2 linked regions of the Drosophila melanogaster genome follow. The protein of the gene in region 1 interacts with the protein of each later gene in a biochemical or structural test. Each region holds a gene or a part of one and is shown on either strand. Other genes may lie near its edges.

Region 1 (6,270 bases):
CTGACTTATGGGCTATGCGGCTGGGACCGATGAGATGAGGCTGGGGAATGGGCCTGGCCAATTTGTCGATGAGTTGGGTAAATATTAAAGGAGAAAGTGCCGCCGTCAGTTGGACCAAAAGTTTTGTACTCTCCTTGTACATATTTCTGTTTTCGGTTTTCTGTTTTTGAAAAATATTTTTGCACAGGTTACATATTGTTGAATTATTTGCACAAAAAGAGAGTGAGGTCAGGTGCAGTCGTCCCAATTTCATCGAGTGTCGATAATTTATGCAAATATGTTCACTAATAGTTATGCAAACGGAAATCTAACCGTGTTTACCACCCATTTTGGATTTCCCTTCGAGTGGCCCCCTCAATGTCAGTTTTTGACTGACCAAAATTTATAAAATGCTAAATTATTCGGCTTAGCAACGTCAATTACTCACGTTATTTAATATTTATGTCAGCTGCATATGACAATAAAAGCATTTTATAATTAAAGTTTGCTTTATGCTCCAGCCGTGATTTGATTACAAATATTGGCAATCCACTGAATCAAAGTCAACACCATTTGATATTGGCTCCGTGTCAATTTCGCAAACACGCCCAAGATCTAAAAGTCAACCGATTGACCCAGAGACCTCGTTTTCAGGGAAGTACCCAAAAACAGGAAGCTCTTCGACCGTGAGTTTCCGGCTATCATTCTAAAACAATATTTGTAATGGAACTAAACTGTTTAGTTACGGAATTCGAGGGGTCAAGCCACATATATACATAAGATATTGACACAATATAGAGAATCTTAATATTTTATTCTTTCAAAATGTGCCATCACATTTTCCTCACATATTTCGATTTGAAGGCCAAAGCTCCATACTTCAATCGATTTTTTTGGCGGCTCAATCAACCGATCAAGCAGCAGGCGCCACATTTAAATTTGTCAGTTGTTTCTTGCATGCTAATGACCGGGTGAAATATTGTAATTAAAAACTACAATGAGTGTTTATTTTAGCAGTATGCGTAAATAGCTGCTCCTCAAACTTTGAAACCCAGTGTTGAAATACATATTTCCAGAAGCATTTGTCGAATGGATAATATCGTATTTGGTTAGCTTTTTGCAAGGTGTCTGCCTTTTGGCGAACGTGGTGACATGTAAGCCCAAAAGCGTACATTAATTGCATTTCAAATAGGCTTTCGGTGGCCTTGGGAACGGTGGCGTATCGGCACGTGATCCTTTTTCCGCCGAGCTGAGGAAATTTATGGCACCCTCACTTCGCTAAAATGCATTAACGCACCGATTAATATTAATTGTGCAGCGGGTATTTACCAACTTTAATAGTTAATTTATGGCAGGAAGATTGATGTAAAGTTTCATGAAAATTGAGATAGTCAGAAATAAAAAGTAATTAAATTCAACCTACTCAGGCTCTAAAGTAATATTTATTTATTTATCGAAAGTAGTATTTATTTATCACCACAATAAAGATCTATGCAATAAAGTCATTTAAAATTTATTTTTTATAAAATTCAAAAAATATCGTTAAATAGTTTTGAACTTTTCCAACAAGGTGGCAATATCTAACTATCGATAGTTTGCCGACGCACACGTTTTTACTGTACCCCAATTTGGTATCACTAATTTATTGCGCTGTATTTTTCTGGATAATTTTCGCGTCGTTTCCTGGATTATTTCATCACTTAGCAAAGTGTGCGTTTGCACATAGGCAAACAAAATAGAGAATTGGGTGAACTTCATCGCCATGGGCCGCCGGTGCTGCGTGGCCAACTGCCCGTCGACGTCGCGTCTGTTGGAGCACAACGGCGTGACTTACCACTCCTTCCCCCTAGATCCCATCATCCGCGCCATATGGATCAAAAACTCTCGCATCAGCCTGGAGCGCCAGATCACCAAGAGCGTGCTGGTCTGCTCACGCCACTTCCGCCGTTTGGACTTCAACACTATCCGCAATGGGAAGTATCTGCTCAAGCCGCGCGTCTTTCCCACCGTTTTTCCATGGGGCAAGATGGATACCGCGGAGATCGAAGCAGACCAACGGGCACTTCAGCACGCCAGCGTGGAGGGAACGACTGAAACCCCGGGAAATGCTCAGTCATCGACCAATGACGATGTGATCAAAGCTACGGTAGACCAAATAGTTGCGCAAATCCTGTCGGAATCTGCAGAACGCAAGGCCACGGAGGAAGGTAAAACAGGCAAGGCGGCGGATGACGTTAAAAATACTCCCGAAAGTGGAGAAGATGCAAACAAGGCAGCTGCAAAGGAACCCTCAGGGACTCCGGTAGCCGCAAGCAGCGAAGCCACAGTCCCAGCTCCTGGATCCGCTTCCAGTTCGAACTCACCTTTGCCCGGCACACCGCCCAAGTACAGCAACCCACATAACCTGACTATTGGCGCCCGTTTGGAGGCGCTCAGTGTGGAAGGCAACTGGTTGCCCGCCCGCATCGTGGAAGTTAACGAGACGGAGCAGACGCTACTCGTGCGCTTTGAGCGCAATCACAAGCTAAAGGTGTCACCTTCGACCAGCGGCAGCTTTCAGGAGTGGATGGCCATCAAGTCGGAGCGGCTGAGGCAGCGCCTCAGCAACCGTGTGCTGCCCGTCTTTGAGCTGGACGAGAAGTGCATGGCCCGCTGGTCGGGGCCGCGTAAGTTTCCAGGAACCATACGCAAGTTGCTGGGCAACGATACCTACGAGGTTCTCTTCGACGATGGTTACGTTAAGAACGTGCGCGCCGTGCACATGAACAAGATGCCCAAGCAGTTGCCCCCTGTTCAGGTAGCGGAAGAGGGTGCCTCAAAGTCACCCACTCCTGTTGGAACTCCAGTAAGCTCTGCACCTGTGGCTCCGAAGCGGGCGAGCACAGGCAGCCTTGGCGGATCCAGTGGCTCTTCGGGCAGCAAGAAGAGCAAATGTGCACCTCAGCGCAGGGATTGGCCGTTGCTGGACATGGCCAGTTTGGATATAGGTAAGAGCACCGAAAGGAGAATGTTAGTTTTGCCTTAAACTTAACTTTCATGTTTGACTTTCGTAACCAACAGCATCCCTTGGACTCCCAGAAATACCGCATGACGGCGAGTGGACTTGTCATTGGGTAAATGACCAGCCTATTGGAACCGAGGGTTTTCTGATTGTGGGCGAGCACCAGAAACCCACTGTTATCGTGCAGGATTGGCGTCTGCCTCCTGGCTGGATCAAGCACATGTACCAGCGGTCCAACGTCCTCGGCAAGTGGGATGTTATTCTGGTCTCGCCCAGCGGCAAACGTTTCCGCTCCAAGTCCGACTTGAAGTTGTTCCTTGAGTCCCAGAATCTGGTCTACAACCCGGATGTGTACGACTTTAGCATCCATCGACGTCGTGCCAAAGACATCAATGCTTACGTCTACACACACGGCTACAATCCGCAGCCACCGCCCAAGCCCAGGCCCATGGATGTGTCGATGAACTCCACGCTGGACCAGAGCATCACGTCGCAACATTCTTTACCTTCTACTCCGATGCCGGTGAAAGAAAGCCAGTACATGGAAGCACCGGTGGCCTCGCTTATGCCACCAGCTGAGTTAATGTCGCCGCAGACGCAGCCTGCCGATGAGACAAAGCCCAAGATAGAAGCAGAAATACTGGAAGCCAGTGAGGGAGGTACCTCTCAGCTTATGTTAGCAGATCCTCATGTGGTGGAAAATGGCTTTGGTAAGTATATGCAATTTGAAATAACATGTGCTATATTAAAATAAATTATAATTCCATATTTCAGCTTTCATTGGGGGCCTAAAAGTCAAAATCCAAGACAATCTTTATGTATGCCCGCGCGAAGATTGCGCCAAGACCTATCGCAAAGAAGACTTTCTGCTAATCCACATTCGCCATTATCACAAGGAGTTTGCAGAGTGAGTAATATTCATTCAAAACTCATGACACCTAACTTACTTTAAATCTACAGACACGTCAGCCACTGTCCAAAGATGCAGGAACTAGCGGTCAAACGTACGCACCCCTCATCCATCGATCAAGTTGAGGCGGTGCCAAAAAACCAAATACCCAACCAGCAATTCTTTGCCAAAATGCACCAGCAGGATTTGCAGCAGTCACGATCGTTTAAACGACAGAGTGTATCAGCTACGGCCACATCTTCAACGCCATCTGACATAACGCCTACTAAGGCCCTGTTATCTCCTAAGATGGAGCCACCAAGTGTGTCGCCAACTGTTGAAAGTGGCATTAAACAAGAAGATGTTTCTCTGGATGCTGGTCCAACTCAGTCGTTTAATCCTTCATTGAGTCGTTCCTGCAAGCGTGCACGCTTGTCGCCGTCGAAGCGGCCATCTGGCTCGCGAAAGAGTAACCGCCAGCGCTCTCAGCGTCGTCCCATTTTGTCAGATAACCCGGCTGGTCATGGCTTAACCGAACAAGATGTTGAGGAGACACGGCAATCTTTTAACACCCCCACTCCGGATACGCGCATCGACTCGAAAAAACGCCGCAGTGGTGCGGCAACAACTCCCATCAGTTCCATTGACTCACCAGCCATGGGAGATTCGGTGTCCACGCCATCATCTAATGACCAGACCGACATAAATGCAGCCCTTGCCCCACCACCAGCTGAAACGTTAAGCAAAGCACCACAGTACATCAAGGAAAATGGTGAACTAATTCGAATTGTGCGCATGCGGCAGGAGGAGATCATTAACTGCATCTGCGAGTATGGCGAAGAGGACGGCCTAATGATCCAATGTGAATTGTGCCTATGCTGGCAACACGGTGCATGCAACGGAATTGTCAAAGAGGCAGATGTACCGGACAAGTATGTGTGCTACATTTGTCGCAATCCGCAGAGGGGTCGGGATTCTATGAGATTTAAGCACGACCAGGACTGGCTATTCGAAGGCAAGTTGCCGGTGGCCGCGTATCACACTGCAAATCCACAGGCCACCAAACAATTCGAGCTCTTGAAGCGCTCGCACACGCTGACCGGCAATTTGCTAGATGCCAAGCGATCGATGCACTCGCTGCTGGTGAAGATTAACATCGCACGCAACCGCTGTCATCCGAAGCTTTATCTATGGGCCAAAAAGTGGGACGAAGACAATCTGGACTCTACTGCGTTGACACCGGTTAAGCGTGCAAAATTGGAGGCCCCCGACCTTCCGAACGTTCCGCAACCGGAAGCTGCCATCGATCCGGAGGAGTGCCAGTACCGTTTGATCGAGCATATCAAGGTGCAGCAATCCTTGGTTCTCGATCGGCTGAATGACATAGAAGCCGAAATGGACGGTTAGTATCCAAAACTAATTTTTGTCACGAGTATATATGAATCTATATATATTTTTGAATTTCTTTTAGAACTTGAAAAGGAGGACACGTTGGATGACTTAAAGGACGCTGACATCTCGACCACAAAAGAGGCGCTGGCCACGTTTATTAAGGAGCTCGAAACCATGAAGCGCCTTGCCAAGCTCAACCAGGTGGCCAATATGAAGCAGACCCTCAGAGATTCTGCCACTAGCAAGTAGCATTTCTATTGATCACGGTTATAGGGGTCTAATGAGGATTTTCTTTTAAGCTATTTTCGAACTGTTTCCATAATTTTGCAGACGTGTAGATAGTAACCGTACAAGCTTTTTCTCTTCAAAAAAAATATTGCTATACTTTATAAAGTTTGATAATATAATGGAATTTAAATGTATATTCTTTTAAAGTTAACCATGTGAGAATACAGAAAATTATAATTTCATGCCCAATTATAAAGTTAAGATGCTTGATGATAAAACCTGACTACAAGACGTCTTTGTGACGTCTTTGTATTCGTGACTTGGTCGCAGTTATGTGTTGTTGGCAATCTCTTTGCTCCATAGCTTGGTTCGCCGCGATGTCGGCAGCCCAGGAGACGCTTTCCGACACCCCGCAGAATAGCACACCTTTGTTAGCCACAACTGTGTCGACCACGAAGGTGATAAGTTTCCGCCCTCGTTATCCATACATCGTCTCCATAGGAGAGAACCTTAAAGGATACTACAAGCACCTTTGCGTGGGCGTTATACTTTCGAATGAGTTCGTGCTCAGTGCAGCCCACTGCATCCAAACGAATCCAACCAAACAACTGTACGTGGCTGGTGGCGCCGATTCGCTGAACAGCCGGAAGCAGACCCGCTTCTTCGTCGTGGAAAGAAGATGGCATCCCCAGTTTAGGGTGCTCGGCGGCAACGACATTGCCGTGTTGAGGATTTACCCCAAATTCCCGCTCGACGATGTGCGATTTCGTAGCATTAACTT
Region 2 (7,838 bases), 3.4 Mb from region 1:
CAGCGAGTCCATGGCGATGGCTCTCATTTTCTTGCTGACCACCAAGTCTTTCTTCTTGAGATTATTTAGCGATTCGTTGTACTGCTTTATGAAGCTATGAATTATTATTCCCGTGTGGGGCGACAGCTTCTGAATATCTGCCCATAATTCTCCCTCGTTTTTGGGAGACTTTTTTAGACTTTTTGTTGAACTGTCTATGGTGGCTGCAAAAGTTTGGTCTTCCTGTGTTTTTTCCACAGCCTGAGAAGTTTGCGCTTCAATTTTTGATTGCTGAACTCTAGGAGCCACTAGCGGAGTTCTTTTTTTGGATGGCTTTTCGTTTGATCTTTCGAAAAGTTGAGTTTTTACATGATCCTTTTTCCAAACAGTTGGAATTTGGCTGTTTTTTTCTTGGGCAACTGTACCTGGTTTTGGGGCTTTCGAGTGAGCTGCATCCACTAACGGTGCTCCCGATCTTTTCTTGGCGCCCGTCATTTTGCCAGCTAAGCAGTTGTATTAGCGCAACTAATTTATAAAAGAAATAAATATATATTGTACATTACAAACGTTTTGTTTAGTTTACCTAAACTTTTACCAAGTGCGTCCTGCGTTGAAAAGCAACGGTAAACATTAGCTAGAGATGAGCTTGATGACCTACAGTATATTGTTGTTCACAAGAGGTGTGTGTACTGTCTAAATACTGACCTCACGGTATTTTCTACTGAACGCCCCTGGTTTTGCGTTGTCGCCCTGGCTACGATAACTATGTTACAATTTAATAATAATTCTATTTTGGTTGTCAACATTCAGTTTTTGCTAGCTCTATTTAGAAATTTGAGTGCTGCAAGGAATCTAAGTGGCATCAGAAATCTGATCACGACTACATAATGGCGGGATCTGGAGTTGCCAAGCAGATATTTGCCCTCGATTTCGAGATCTTTGGACGAGTGCAAGGTATGCAATGCATTTTTCTGATTCGGCTTGTTAAACAGCGTATTAAATTTTGCAGGTGTGTTCTTCCGCAAAGTAAGTACTGGGAGGCCTATATATATATCTGGAAATCAACATTTAACTTATGTACATTTTTGGCTTAGCACACGTCGCATGAGGCTAAAAGATTGGGAGTTAGGGGCTGGTGCATGAATACCCGGGATGGGACCGTCAAGGGACAACTGGAGGCTCCTATGATGAATTTAATGGAAATGTAGGTACCGCTGCACTCCACTAATTCAATCATTTAACCATCGCCCACTAATTTGAAGGAAACATTGGCTGGAGAACAACCGAATTCCCAACGCTAAGGTCTCAAAGGCTGAATTTTCGCAAATCCAGGAAATCGAGGACTATACGTTCACTTCCTTTGACATAAAACATTAAAAACGAATTATTAGCTCTTTCGTTGTCCATCCAATTCCGAAACAAAGTCTAAATAAATTACCAGGGCTGCAACTTGCGTAAGCAGGCATATCTGCATTGCTATCGACTGAGTCGATAACATTCGATAGTATGAACATAAGAAATATTACGTTTCGCAAAACTGAACCCAGTACTGAAGTACAACAATAAATAAATAATAAATTATTTAAAACAAGGCGGAAAATTATTCCGAGAATCGATAGTCGCTAGTCGAAAGTGCGCACCACTCCAGTATCTACTCGATATATTGCTATCACAGCCGATAGTTTGCAGCTCCCTGCCATAGACACTGGTCATCTCGCTCGCACACACAACAGTGGGCCGCGCCACCGCCATAGGCGGCGCACGTGCAAGAGCGAGACAACCAGCTGGGCGACAGCGCACTTTGGTCTGGCACAGAAACGAGTACAGCTTCGATACACGTCGTTTTGCCAAAAGCGTAGCAGAGCAGTCTAAGCGATGAAAAAAATAAATGAGGAAAAAAGTCCGTGAAGCGAAAACCGTAATTCCTACAGTGCGAGTCACGCCATTGTGTTTGCAAAAAATATTTGCCAATTGTGCTACGGGCAATTTTTCGGAACGGCCGAATTGTGCGTATAATGAAAAAAAATACTACTTAATTTTTAAGCAATTTACAAATTCTTGCGTGCTGCCTGCCTGCTGTCGGTGTGTTCTTGCTTGCATGTGTTAGTGAGTACGATTACTTTCGCGCTGAAAACCTTTTTCCACTGCCCTTTCGCTGGAATCTGGGCGAATATAGATAGGACACAAAGCACATATAACTGATTTTTACTGCAGAATTGATCGAGACATGTGGAATACAATAAATGAGATTGTGTAAATAACTGAATATAGTGGCGCATACAGTTGCACGTGTGTGTGTGCTAGCATGTGCGTGTGTGTGTGTAAAGGCGCGAGTTTCCGTTTGCCTAGGCTAATTGTAGTGGAAAAACTCAATAAACGGAATTACATAAAAACATGGTGGCATGATCGGCAGTTTCCCGCCGGCAGAAGATGCCCAATCTTGGAAAATTGTAATTTTCGAAAGTAACCGCAATGATTTCGTCAGTATGTAAAGTAGTCTGTCAGTCCCTGCATATGTTTGTGTGTGTGTGTTCTATACAGTTTTTTTTATTGCGCATCATGGTGTGCAATAGCGCGCTTTCTGACCTCTCTCTCGCTCTCATGGGTTCTCTTGTTGGCCAAAGCGACGCTGTGTGTGTGTTGTGTACGCATATGTAGCATATGTACATAACACGCCGGAAAAGACAAAAAAAAAAAACCATTCCAAATTTTGAAATCTTACGGAGGCGGGCGGTTTAAACGAGATAAAAAATAAATACACCAATATTGTTCTTTTATATGATAACGCAGTAGTCTCGGACCGAATAGTATGCCTTTATTTTGTCGTCCTAACGCTGAATTGCCGAAAAATAATAGCCCGTTTTTGGAAAATTCTCGACAGGATTAGCATAAAGAGACGCCTTAGGAGTCGAACGAACCAAATGCCGCAGCAGCCGGCCAACGTATTAGCATCAGAACGATGGCCCCAGCGCTCACAGCCGAGCCACTAAGTCCAAAGGAGAAGCTAACCAGCACCGCCTCGCCCTCGGCCCGCAGCTCCTCGGAAAGCGGAGGAGTTGGATGTGCAGTTGGCTTGGTCAAGAAGCCGGCAACACCCACGCCGGCCACGGCCACCACGCGGATTACCCGCTCATCAGCGGCAGCGGCCTCAGTTACCGCTTCCCCGCATCTACAACAGCAGCGATCCTCGCTAGCAATCAATAACAAGCGAAAGTCGGGCAACGCTAAAGCCAGCAATGAACCAATGGGGCTGAGCACAGCCCCGACTCCACACAGCACCACTTCACCAAATCCCTCGACGGATACTGCGGCAGCCTCCACCTCTGCCGTGGAGCACAACAATAACGACAGCAACAGTACCTCCGCCGGCAACAGCACCTCCGCCGACAACAGCTCCACGCCCAAGGACAACTCCACCGCTCAGCTACTGGCGGATCTAACCATCAACTTTGAGGAGACCATATCCGCGGAGATTTGCCTGAGGAAAACCCTACCCGATGTGAGTCTGGGGAAAGAGCCGGTTCCGCCTGCCTCGGTGCTGGCAGTGGCCACAAGTTCAACGAGTGCTGGCAGCGCTCTATCCTTATCTGCAGTGGATGAGGTGACCAAGATAGAAATAGATAATATAGAAGGTGGGTCTAAGGAATCACTCCAAATAAATAGTCTTGACTCAAAATTTCTCTCGCCCACTGTTTCAGAGCGTCTCAGCCAGCTAGATGGGAATGCCACTGGAAGGCCCGAGGAGCATGTGGCACCACCTTCTGTTCCGGTACCCGTGCAGGAGGCGCCAAACACGCCCACCAGGCCACAGGCGCCACCAAGTGCCCATCTTGAGTCTCCGCAGCCGGCGCGAACACAGCAGCAGTCCATTCAACAGATGACGCCGCAAAGCACCACCAGTTCCAACAATTTTCTCAAAGACGGAGCAGCTGGTGCTGTTCTAGAGGATCAGGATATCGAGGAGGTGCTTAAAGCGCTCAAAACATTTGACGGTGGCCATGTTAATCCAGATACCATTTGCGAGTTTTTCGACGAAGTTTGGGAAGAGGCAGCACCGGCAGCGCCATTGCCGCCCGCGCCACCCGAAAATGTGGTGGATGTGCCGGGCGCGAAGCCCAGCTGCAGTGGCATCCTCGTTAGCGGCAGCAACATTTCCCAGCCGAATGTGATTATTAAGCAGGAGCAGCGGCCCTGGCAGGAGAGTCATGCTGAGTTGGAGCAGCAGCAGCACGTTATCTCGCGCAGGATCGAGTTTTTGCTACGCAGGATGCGCAAGCTCCAGGCGCGAGCGATGTGCCGTCACGCGAGCGAGGAGGTGGTTGGTATCATGGAGTGGTCTGCCCGCAGTTCCCATAAGGCTCCAGTTCCAGCGAGAAGTTCCACGCTGACTGAGCAGGAGGCCACTGTCCTATCGATTGTCTCAGGGCGTCCGAGCTCAACCTTCTGGGAGGAGCAGAACAAGCATCCGCTGCCTGCTAGCCAGATGAGTAATGTGATCCGGCATATTGCGACGGCGGCAAAGCATCAGCAAATCTGCCACTCAGCCAGCGGAAGCTCTGCTACTCTGGCGCCATCCTCCAGCTGGTACAACAGCTGCAACAGCTCTGCGCTGCCGATGAAGCGTCCACGAAAGAATCAACTTGATGCTTCGGTTGCAACGGGTGCCACACCCACTGCACCTGCGCCAGGAGCGGTAACATCTAGACAGGCAGCTGGCACGACGGGATCCGCAACGGGTTCGAATACACCGCGGGCGGATGATATCGTGCCCGGCTACGACACCTATGTGACTAATGAACTCACCCATGTGTCTGGCCTGCTGCACACGGAGCTTCGAGAAGTACAGAATGCCATCGACTCGGACGCCACGGAGTCAAGTTCTGGTGGAGAATCCGCTGACGAGATGGTAACCTACAACAACAACCAGCAGCTCTCGCTACCAATGTGAGTACTTCGTATTATTTATGTACATACTTAGGTTATCGGGAATATTTTACAAGTAAACTTTCTTCCATCTTTTTTTGAGGGGGGTTTTCAGCTTCTGTCATCTTTTTAAGATCATTCTTTTGCTATAGAATTTGTCCGATTAATGTTGGCTCGGTAGTTTTCTTTCAAAATTGTTTTGCTTTGACAGGCATTTTAAACATGATTTAACGTCGTCCTTAGCAATTGAAAAGTTGTAATAGGCTTTGATTAGAGTTGTTGTACCTAATTATCGCATTTACAATGCGATATTTCAACTATTTCAACAGTTTTTATTAAAATTGTTAATTAGCGATTATATATTTCTTTTAGCTTTTTTTTTGTGGTATTCTCTTTCCTAATGCTCTTGAAATTTGATTCTTTGCAGCACTCGACGCGCTGTCTGGCGATATTCGAGAGATCGTGCAGCCATTGCCCTGCGCTGGTCCTGGCTCTGCTCCCAGCTGACCGATTTGGAGATGAAGATCCGTCAGCACAGCGACCTTTACATGGATCTAACTCAGTCCAAGGGCGAGATCCAGCTGGAGTCCACAGCTAAGACCTCACCGTCGCTAGCACAGCCGGCAAATGGCATTAAGGAGGAGCCCGGATCCGACTACCTCTGCAGTCGGGCACGTCCATTGGTGCTGTCCGAGTTCCGCAAACGCAAGCTCTTCCAGACCACGAACATGCACACGATTTCCAAGAAAGCCGCACGCCCCAGCAACATTAAGTGTGGCTGCCAGTGGCCGCAGGTGCCATGCACACTGTGCACGGGTCGGACAGACCCTACGGCGCCCAGGGATCTGGTCGAGACGATGATGCCGCAAAACCGGGTGGCATTGCTCGATGCTGGCTACCATCCAGTGCTCAGCTTCGCCAGCGGTGAGTGGGAGGTTACACTGAGTGGACCCATTTGGTTTTCGTCCATGATTATTTCTTATCATCTGTGATGGTTTAACATTATTTATTCTACACTTGAGATTTGAACTGAATTGATTAAAAAGTAAAACTTTAAAATGCAATACTTGCAAATAATTTTTATTCGAAACTAAAACATTAAAATCCTCGTATTCTTTACATTGGATTCCAAAATGAAAAGAAATAGTCGGATGATGACAGCTAAAGTGGAATTATGTTTGAATATATTCTTATCCCTATCATTCTTGTTTCCCAGATGTCAGTCAGTCGGTTCACTTGGAGGCCGTTGCCCGCCAGCCGGACTGGCAGTACCGCGTCATGCGCAGCCAGCCCAAGGCCATTGTCAAGGCCATGTGGAAGGCGGAGCGCGAGACGATAGCCTCAGGCGGTGTCGGCGGACAAGGTGGCAGCCGGCGGTCGGGCGATGCGGCGAAGCGGCGTTATATACGACGCAAGGAGCGCAACAACAACTCAAATAAGGAGGCTGGGAGCGGAGCTAAAGCTGCTGCTGTCGCCGCAGGAGGAGCAGGCGGAAACGGAAGCAGTAGCGTCGGGGGAGGGGATAGCGGAAACGGTACTGGTACTGCTACTACTTCTTCTTCTACTACGCCTACTACAACGCCACTTGTGGCCAACAGTAAATTATTGTAAACATGACGAAATTCGATAATTGTTATTAACATAAAACAACAACAATCTTTTGCATCTCTTCTTCTTCTTTTTCTTTGCATCGATCAACCAAAACACGAAATTCCACCAACACCATCAACAAACACCACCACCAACAACAACAACGAAAAACCCCACCAATTGTTTTATTTTGCCATTCCGTTCTTGTCTCCGTTTCGTCCCCGTTCCGCATCCAAATCACGGACTTGACGCAACATCAGCAGCGGCCAGGGGCAAGCGGCAACCACAACACCCAACTGGAGCGAACAGTTCCAGCTCGCTGTGGCCAGACTCTCGCCAACGCCAACGACAACGCCACCACAGTCCCTCCTCAACCTCGATCTCGGCACTGAGCGGCGCTAAGAAGGCACGCAAATCCGCAACCAACAGCAGCAGCAGCAATTCCACACAGCAGCAGCAGAATCACCACGGCACCAAAATCAACAATCATCATCTCAATGGCTACGGCGATCAGTGGGGGGAGCAAAGCAGGAGTCGTCGCAACTCTTCGCCCTCCAACAGTCATAAAAATGAGAGGTATGTTTCGGATTCAATAACTGATCCCAGGGATTCGCGATAAGTAGTCCTGCTTTTTTTTTATAAGATAGATTGTTATATATAATTTATATGTATGTTTCCCTTGCAGAACCTCTGAGCGTCGCGTTCGTCCCATCTACGACATCAATAACATCGTTATACCCTACAGTATGCTAGCCCAGTCGAAAATGGAGATAATTCCCTACAAGGAAATACCCATACCCAAGTAAGTATTCAATTTTGCGCTAAGTCCTTATTTTATATATATATGTCGCATAATGTAAAATACCAAGATTTGTGTATATCTATTAAAATCACCCATTCCATCTTTGCTTTCAGGTGGCGCATTGTAGACAGTGATAACGATAAGGGAAAACATTCGTCAGATGAGTCAATGGAGCGCAAACTGAGCAATGGCTGTGTCGCATCAAAGTCAGAGGAGCTAGCCAAACAACAGCTACCACCACCACCAGATCAAGATCAAGAGCAGCCGGCCCTGCAGCCTCCGAAGGTTAATGGTTTAAAGGAAAATCAAGCAGTCAAGCACAATAACAATAATAATACAAACAATAATAATAATAAAAATGGACTGGTAAATGGTAACGCCAAAAAGGATGAACTTAAGGCTGCAGAGGATCACGATACGCAATCAAAAGAAGACGACGATCCAAAGGAAAAGGTGGTCAAACCCAAGCTCAACGGAAACTTGATAAAGAATCCGATTGACAAAACTGCCGAAACGCAAGACAAAATTGCTCAGCCAGCACCAG

The links. The genes of interacting proteins can lie anywhere in the genome.
Region 2: the proteins of MBD-R2 (region 1) and nsl1 form a complex in vitro, tested with the Drosophila melanogaster proteins (one study listed by BioGRID).

The regions. Positions count from the first base shown.
Region 1 is NT_033777.3:12,351,615-12,357,884, reverse strand, and holds MBD-R2 (MBD-R2), read left to right. Parts: upstream 1-1,619; 5' UTR 1,620-1,741; coding exon 1,742-2,966; intron 2,967-3,039; coding exon 3,040-3,690; intron 3,691-3,754; coding exon 3,755-3,887; intron 3,888-3,940; coding exon 3,941-5,271; intron 5,272-5,340; coding exon 5,341-5,510; 3' UTR 5,511-5,742; downstream 5,743-6,270. Other genes in the region: CG10041 (uncharacterized protein), read left to right, coding at 5,822-6,270. UniProt on the Drosophila melanogaster protein: Component of the non-specific lethal (NLS) complex, a multiprotein complex that promotes expression of housekeeping genes on X chromosome and autosomes.
Region 2 is NT_033777.3:15,791,969-15,799,806, forward strand, and holds the start of nsl1 (non-specific lethal 1), read left to right. Parts: upstream 1-1,813; 5' UTR 1,814-2,085; exon of another isoform or gene 2,086-2,232; intron 2,233-2,860; 5' UTR 2,861-2,938; coding exon 2,939-3,611; intron 3,612-3,677; coding exon 3,678-4,923; intron 4,924-5,329; coding exon 5,330-5,826; intron 5,827-6,118; coding exon 6,119-6,499; coding exon of another isoform or gene 6,500-6,513; exon of another isoform or gene 6,514-6,752; coding exon 6,753-7,068; intron 7,069-7,177; coding exon 7,178-7,294; intron 7,295-7,407; coding exon 7,408-7,838. Other genes in the region: c(3)G (crossover suppressor on 3 of gowen), read right to left, coding at 1-474; Acyp2 (acylphosphatase 2), read left to right, coding at 867-933, 989-1,005, 1,074-1,183, 1,242-1,356.